Linked DNA regions of Macaca fascicularis. The protein of the gene in region 1 interacts with the protein of each later gene in a biochemical or structural test. Links are inferred from orthologs where the notes say so. Each region holds a gene or a part of one and is shown in the gene's direction. Other genes may lie near its edges. The genes, in order: MARK3 and KSR1.

Evidence for each region.
Region 2: of the proteins of MARK3 (region 1) and KSR1, one has a biochemical effect on the other in vitro, tested with the Homo sapiens proteins (2 studies listed by BioGRID). The link is inferred for Macaca fascicularis from reciprocal best matches to the Homo sapiens genes MARK3 and KSR1.

The regions. Positions count from the first base shown.
Region 1 is NC_088381.1:171,635,398-171,639,214, forward strand, and holds part of MARK3 (MAP/microtubule affinity-regulating kinase 3), read left to right. Parts: intron 1-1,444; coding exon 1,445-1,681; intron 1,682-1,860; coding exon 1,861-1,980; intron 1,981-2,232; coding exon 2,233-2,332; intron 2,333-2,947; coding exon 2,948-3,060; intron 3,061-3,817. UniProt on the Homo sapiens protein: Serine/threonine-protein kinase. Involved in the specific phosphorylation of microtubule-associated proteins for MAP2 and MAP4. Phosphorylates the microtubule-associated protein MAPT/TAU. Phosphorylates CDC25C on 'Ser-216'.
Region 2 is NC_088390.1:33,048,888-33,052,704, forward strand, and holds part of KSR1 (kinase suppressor of Ras 1), read left to right. Parts: intron 1-156; coding exon 157-616; intron 617-797; coding exon 798-802; intron 803-3,497; exon of another isoform or gene 3,498-3,516; intron 3,517-3,752; exon of another isoform or gene 3,753-3,817.

The DNA.
Region 1 (3,817 bases):
GGAGACTGAGGCAGGAGAATGGCGTGAACCCGGGAAGCCGAGCTTGCAGTGAGCCGAGATCGTGCCACTGCACTCCAGCCTGGGCGACAGAGCGAGACTCCGTCTCAAAAAAAAATAAAATAAAGTGACTGTGATTTGTCTCTCTCTTTTTTTTTTTTTTTTTTTTGAGGCAGAGTCTCGCTCTGTCGCCCTGGCTGGAGTGCAGTGGTGCAATCTCAGCTCACTGCAACCTCCACCTCCCACGTTCAAGCGATTCTCCTGCCTCAACCTCTCAAGTAGCTGGGATTACAGGTGCCCACCACCACACCTGGCTAATTTTTTGTATTTTTGGTAGAGATGAGGCTTCACCATGTTGGCCAGACTGGTCTCGAACTCCTGACCTCAGGTGATCCACCCGCCTCAGCTTCCAGAAGTGCTGTGATTACAGGCGTGAGCCACCGCACTCAGCCGTGATTTGACTCTTGAATGAGGTTTGGGATTCTCCCCTCCTCATTAACAGCCATTTTATAGCTATTCAGCAGTTTTTATGAAATGCCCCTTTTTTAAAAAAGTTATGTATTTTTTGAGACAGGGTTTTACTCTGTCACCCAGGCTGGAGTGCAGTGGCACAATCATAGCTCATTGCAGCCTCAAACTCCCAGGCTTAAGAGATCCTCCCACATAAGCCTTCCAAGTAGCTGGGATTACAGACGTGTGCCACCATACCCAGCTAATTTTATTTTATTTTTTTTTTGTAGAGAAGGGGTCTCACTATATTGCCCAAGGTGGTCTCGAACTCCTGGGCCCAAGTGAGCCACTTGTACCTGGCCCTGCCCCTACCCCTGCCCCATATTATTCTTGTTTTTTGTTTTTGAGATGGAGTATCACTCTGTCGCCCAGGCTGGAGTGCAGTGGCACGATCTCAGCTCACTGCAACCTCCCCCTCCCGGGTTCAAGCAGTTCTCCTGCCTCAGCCTCCTGAGTAGCTGGGATTACAGGTGTGTACCACCATGCCCAGCTGATTTTTGTATTTTTAGTAAAGACAGGGTTTCACCATGTTGACTAGGCTGGTCTCAAACTCCTGGCCTCAGATGATTCGGCCACCTCGGCCTCCCAAAGTGCTGGGATTATAGGTATGAGCCACCGTGCCCGGCCCCCATATTATTATTATTATTATTATTATTATTATTAATTGAAAAAAAATTGTCAAGATTTTTCTTGATCTTGGAACATTGATGTTTAAATTAGTGCTAGAATTAATCTATACTTCATGTTTATTATTGTTAGTTATAAAATAAGGAGCTCTAACTTGTCTCCTGTTTTTGTCTGTAGAAAGAATGTTTTCACATTAATTAGGAGGTAACTTTATATCATTACAGAAAACTTTTCTGAAATGCCTAATCCTGTCGTAATTCTAATTCTATTTTGGTTAAATTTCATTTTTGTCTTCATGTTTTCCCTCTAGGCTGAAAATCTATTGTTAGATGCCGATATGAACATTAAAATAGCAGATTTCGGTTTTAGCAATGAATTTACCGTTGGCAGTAAACTCGACACGTTTTGTGGCAGTCCTCCATACGCAGCACCTGAGCTCTTCCAGGGCAAGAAATACGACGGGCCAGAAGTGGATGTATGGAGTCTGGGGGTCATTTTATACACACTAGTCAGTGGCTCACTTCCCTTTGATGGGCAAAACCTAAAGGTATAAGAAGCTGCACCCATGTACTTCACTAAACTAAAAGAAGTTTCCAAATATTGTATGGCTTAATATTTTTTAACATTGTATCAGTGGAGGGGTTTCAGGGGGTTTTTTGTGGTGCTTTGTTAACTAAACCTAAAAGGTTGACTTACTTGTTTTCTTTCCTCTCTACCTCCCCAAAGGAACTGAGAGAGAGAGTATTAAGAGGGAAATACAGAATTCCCTTCTACATGTCTACAGACTGTGAAAACCTTCTCAAACGTTTCCTGGTGCTAAATCCAATTAAACGCGGCACTCTAGAGGTAATCATGTAGGTGGAAACAAGCAACAACTTTGGAGAGTCTTTAGAGTGGCCTTAGGTCTTTGCTTGATTTGTATGCCCTACTGGATACATCCTGCGGCTTCTTAAGGAAGAATTAAAACATTAAAAAAAATATTTTTGAGTTTATGTTTTGAACGATAGTCAATGAAATGTTGAAAATAAATTTTTGTAAATATTATGGTTGTCAGAATATTTCATTTTACTCTGCTAATGAACAGTTTACCTTTTTTAGCAAATCATGAAGGACAGGTGGATCAATGCAGGGCATGAAGAAGATGAACTGAAACCATTCGTTGAACCAGAGCTAGACATCTCAGACCAAAAAAGAATAGGTAATGACTCCATGCCTGCATGTTCATGTGTAGTTGTCTAAGTAACACATTTCTGTTTTGACTCATGTCTGTGCCTAAAATGTGAATAATGGAAAGTTAAGCACAAGTTATATGAACAGTTTATCTGTTCTGTCATATTTAGGAACGTAACTACCTGTAGTTTCCAGTAACTCTGAAACAAGTGCCCATTTATGTTAGAAAATGTATGTAATATGTCATCTTTTAGGTCAAATGAAAATTACTTTACCCTATAAAAGAATGATTTCTGGCTGGGCACAGTGGCTCATGCCTGTAATCCCAGCACTTTGGGAGGCCGACGTGGGCAGATCACCTGAGGTCAGGAGGTCGAGACCAGCCTGACCAACATGCAGAAACCCCATCTCTACTAAAAATACAAAATTAGCCGAGTGTGGTGGCGCATGCCTGTAATCCCAGCTACTTGGGAGGCTGAGGCAGGAGAATTGCTTGAATCTGGGAGGTGGAGGTTGCGGTGAGCCGAAATCACGCCATTGCACTCCATCCTGGGCAACAAGAGCAAAACTCTGTCTCAAAAAAAAAAAAAAGGATGATTTCTTACCCAAACAAAACACAAACTGTATTATGCCTTTCTTTTAGATATTATGGTGGGAATGGGATATTCACAAGAAGAAATTCAAGAATCTCTTAGTAAAATGAAATATGATGAAATCACAGCTACATATTTGTTACTGGGGAGAAAATCTTCAGAGGTAAGAGTGATCAGAGAGAAAGAGCTGAAATACCCTTTATGTAATTATTAGTTTATATAAACTGTTTTCTTAGTTTTTATCTTTTGAATATTTGTAACATTTGATACATCATTTTTTAGCTTTACCTGCAAATAGCAAATCTAAATCCTCTGACTATTATAAGCTATTTTAACTTAACCCTTAATGATGGATATTGACCAGGTGTGGTGGCTCACACCTGTAATCCCAGCACTTTGGGAGACCAAGGTGGACAGATCACTTGAGACCAGGAGTTCGAGACCAGACTGGCCAACATAGGGAAACTCTGTCTCTGCTAAAACAAACAAACAAACAAACAAACAAACAAACAGAAAATTAGCCGGATGTGTTGGCGCATACCTGTAATCCCAGCTACTTGGGAGGCTGGGGCAAGAGAACCACTTGACCCTGAGAGGCAGAGGTTGCGGTGAGCCAAGATCGCACCACTGCACTACAGCCTGGGTGACAGAGTGAGACTATGTCTCAAAAAAAAAAAAAAGATGGATATTATCATAAACCTGGTCTTTCATAAATTAACCTATAGTCATTAATAGCTTAGAAATGACGTAAAGCATCAGATGAAGTAAATAGAGCATTTAAAGTTAAATTTGAGAAAGCCTGGGAAGAAAATCACACATACATTACCTTTAATGTCTTTCCAGCAGTCAGAAAACTGCTTTTACTTGAGTTTAGGGTTGTCATTTTTGTACGTTGTGATTCCTCCTCTCTCTGAATGAAC
Region 2 (3,817 bases), on another chromosome or scaffold:
AAGCCTTTATAAACCAGGTAAAGGTTGATAGTTGAAGCCTTCCCTTAAGAAACAGTGCAGCCTCACACCAGGTGTTGAACATCTCTGGCTCCTGGCCATCTCCTTGTGAATGCCTTCCAGCCCCGACCATCTGTGACTTCACGTCTTGGTCCACAGGAGGGGAACATAAGGAGGACTCCAGTTGGAGTTCGTTGGATGCACGGCGGGAAAGTGGCTCGGGGCCTTCCACGGACACTCTCTCACCAGCCAGCCTGCCCTGGCCCCTGGGGAGCTCCCAGCTGGGCAGAGCAGGCAACAGTGCCCAGGGCCCACGCTCCATCTCCGTGTCAGGTCTGCCTGCCTCAGACTCCCCCACCCCCAGCTTCAGTGAGGGCCTCTCGGATACCTGTATTCCCCTGCATGCCAGTGGCCGGCTGACCCCGCGTGCCCTGCACAGCTTCATCACCCCGCCCACCACACCCCAGCTGCGACGGCACACCAAGCTGAAGCCACCGCGGACGCCCCCCCCACCCAGCCGCAAGGTCTTCCAGCTGCTGCCCAGCTTCCCCACGCTCACCCGGAGTAAGTCCCACGAGTCTCAGCTGGGGAACCGCATTGACGAGGTCTCCTCGATGAGGTGAGTGCTCCTTCTGGGCAGCTACCAAAAGTGCCCTCTGTGGTTTTCTAATTATAAAGATACATGGAAGGACCAATACAATCAACCCCTATAGAAGCATGTAAAGTCAAAAGTAAAAGGTACCCCCATCTTTCAGTCCATTCCTCAGACTGCTTCAGCGGTGTGGCCTGAATCCTTCTAGATTTGGTTCTGTATGTACACGTGCGTGCACATGACGTGATGCCACGTATGGGTCAGGGTAGGCCGGGTTACACGGAAATAACAGATATCCCCAAATTGCCAGGTCTTAAAGGAACAAAGATTTGTTTCTTGCTCATGCCGCCTTGTCCATCTTGTCCATCATGGGTCAGCCTCCTTCCGGGCCCAGACTGTCTGAGCATTGCTGGCCACGGTGGCAGGGGGAAAAGTGAGTTCCAGATGTCATGCCCTGGCAGTTGAGTACTCTTTCTTGGAAGTTCCACTCACCATTCCTGGCCCAACCTGAACAGGAGAATGAAACTGTGCTCTTTGCCCACACGCCCAAGAGGAGAGAACTGGAATATTTGGTGGAAACCACTAGTGACTATCAGATACCATACCATCTACTCTGTCCCATGACTTGTTTTTTCAACTTCCCTTGGTATCTCTGGGAACATCATGTCAGTACATCTTGGAATATTTTACTCTTTTGTTTAGTTTTTGACTTAAAAGTTTTTTCTATCTATGGATTTTGAACAAGTGAGACAGTCACACGATCCAAAGTGCAGCAGCTCTGTGGCTTCTCAGGGTACGCGGTGAAAACTCTACCCCACCATTTTTATTCAGTCACGTGGTTCCCCTTTCAGGAGCCAACCAGGCTAGCAGTTTTGTGTATGTCTATAATTATTTAAACCCCATTTGTTTGACTTGTTCATATTATTTCATTGTATAGTTTATCTTGTCCCCTTCTTGATGGGCATTAGATTATAGTCTTTTTTTATTACAAAGATTGCCCTTGTCAATATACCCTTGTGGACAGCACAGAAAGAAAGGGAGAGTTCTCCTTGGGTGCCTCTTACCTTCTTGTACCCCGAGGATTGGGGCACCTGGTTTCTCTCCTCAGCCTGGGCACCACTTTTCTACACTTGATCTTAGCCAAAAGGTAAAGAAGCGACAAGGGCACCCATTTTCTAGGGGGTTCCTTGGGCTCTGGTGTATCTTGGGCCTTGGAGTCATCTTTGGAATGGGCCTGATCCCCTCTCCCAGTGCATGCTGTTCAGGTCCTTTATGGGATGGAGCCTGGACAGCTCCAATGGGTTTGAGTGTGCCACCCAAGGAGGAGAGATCCAGGTGTCACTGACCCTGCTGTTCCCTCTTGGGCTGTCCTGCTGGGGCCTGGGTCCCACCCAGAAGGGGCTGTAGAATGCAGTGATGATGACCACACGAACATGGGTCAGAGGACATCTCACAGTGGGCTCAACCCAGTCCCTCTGTTTCTGTCTTCTCCCAAGAAGAACATTAGGAAAGCTCTGGTCTCATTCGCATGCTGGAAGGTGGCAGGGACACAGCCTCAGGCAGATGATACAACTAGCCTCAAACTCCAGCCAGTGACTGAGCCTCAGACCCTGGGATTCTGAGTCCAGTCCCTGCAGAGTTACCAGAACCAGCACTGACGTGACGCTCAGGCCACCTCGCTGTTCTGGTGACCCCTGAGTGCTCTGTTTCCTCCAGCTCCATGTGTTCTTGGGGGCAGTGGCAGCCCCCTGGGGAGGCTCAGGGTGTGTCCCTGCGTGACTCTCCTTTCAGGGGCTACCTCTGCTCTGCATGGCTGTTATCTCTGCCTTCCTGTCCAGCCACACCCTCTCCAACTGATAATTTTTTTTTTCTTTTTCTGAGAAGGAGTCTCGCTCTGCTGCCCAGGCTGGAGTGCAGTGGTGCAATCTCAGCTCACTGCAACCTCCGCCTCCCGGGTTCAAGCGATTCTCATGCCTCAGCCTCCTGAGTACCTGGGATTATAGGCATGCGTCACCACACCTGGCTAATTTTTGTATTTTTAATAGACACAAGGTTTCATCACATTGGCCAGGCTGGTCTTGAATTCCTGACCTAGGTGATCCACTTGTGTCGGCTTCTCAAAGTGCTGGGATTACAGGCATGAGCCACCAGGCCTGGTCTCTCCAGCTGATTTACCCCTTTTCTTGCCTGGCTCTGGGCCAGGCTCTCCCACTGTGAGCCATGTGACCTACTCAGCCAGCCCCCTGAGGCTCAGTTTTCTTGGCTGTGAAATGGGCTGAACTCTAATTACCATGCTTGGTTGCTGGCGAGGCTTATGTAAGCTAATGTATTAAAGTGCACAGCACTGAGTTTCAATGTCCCCTGGGGAGGCCCGGGGAATGCCCTTCTAGTCCTTTCCATTGAGGAAATGTCCCCACAGAGATTGCAGGGGTTCCCACAGTCACTCAGCCACAGCCTGGCCTCAAGCCAGGCCTCAAAGTCCTGCATCCCAGCCCCTTGCCTGCTCCCGCCCAAAGGTAATGTTCTAGGAACGCGCCGAGCCAGCATGGTGACGTAATCCCCCTCTCTGCTTTTTGTCTCCTCTAGGTTTGGTAAGAGCGATTCATTTCCATCCCCTCTACCACCTGGGAGTCGTGTGTGCGTTGCTGTCGCCATCGGGGGTGGACCTCTTTGACCACCCTCTTAGCCCATTCGGCCTCTCCATAGTCCAGAAGCAGAGGTGCTGGTGACCGCCTCAGGAAATAACCCTAAGACAGGTGGCCTTAAAGTGACTGGCTGGCTTCAGCCTAGCTGGCAGCTGTTCTCTGAGAAGCAGAGACCTTGAGCGCATCTCGGCCCATGGGCAGCCCCATGAAGAGCCCTGTCTCCACCTTGCCCTTGCCCACCGAGACTCTCCAGCAGGGACTCTGGCCTGCTGGGCTGCCATGGTAAAGCACTGCCCCCGGGAAGGCGGTGCCATCTGCCTGGTTTCAGTGGACTTTAGCCATCCCCAGAACCCCACCTGATGTCCCGGGACCCCACTCTTCAGGAGAGGGACATTCCTGGAGGCAGAAATGCAGCACAACTCTGAATGACGCCCCAAAAGATGGGAGGTGCAGATGCCCCTTTGGGATGGGAGGACACATGGGCAACCCTTGACCCCCTTTCCCACCCCCACCTCCAGGTTGGGAGCACGTTCCTGCACGTGGCTGTGCTGTGGGGCCTCGCTCATGAGTCAGAGTGGAGGGA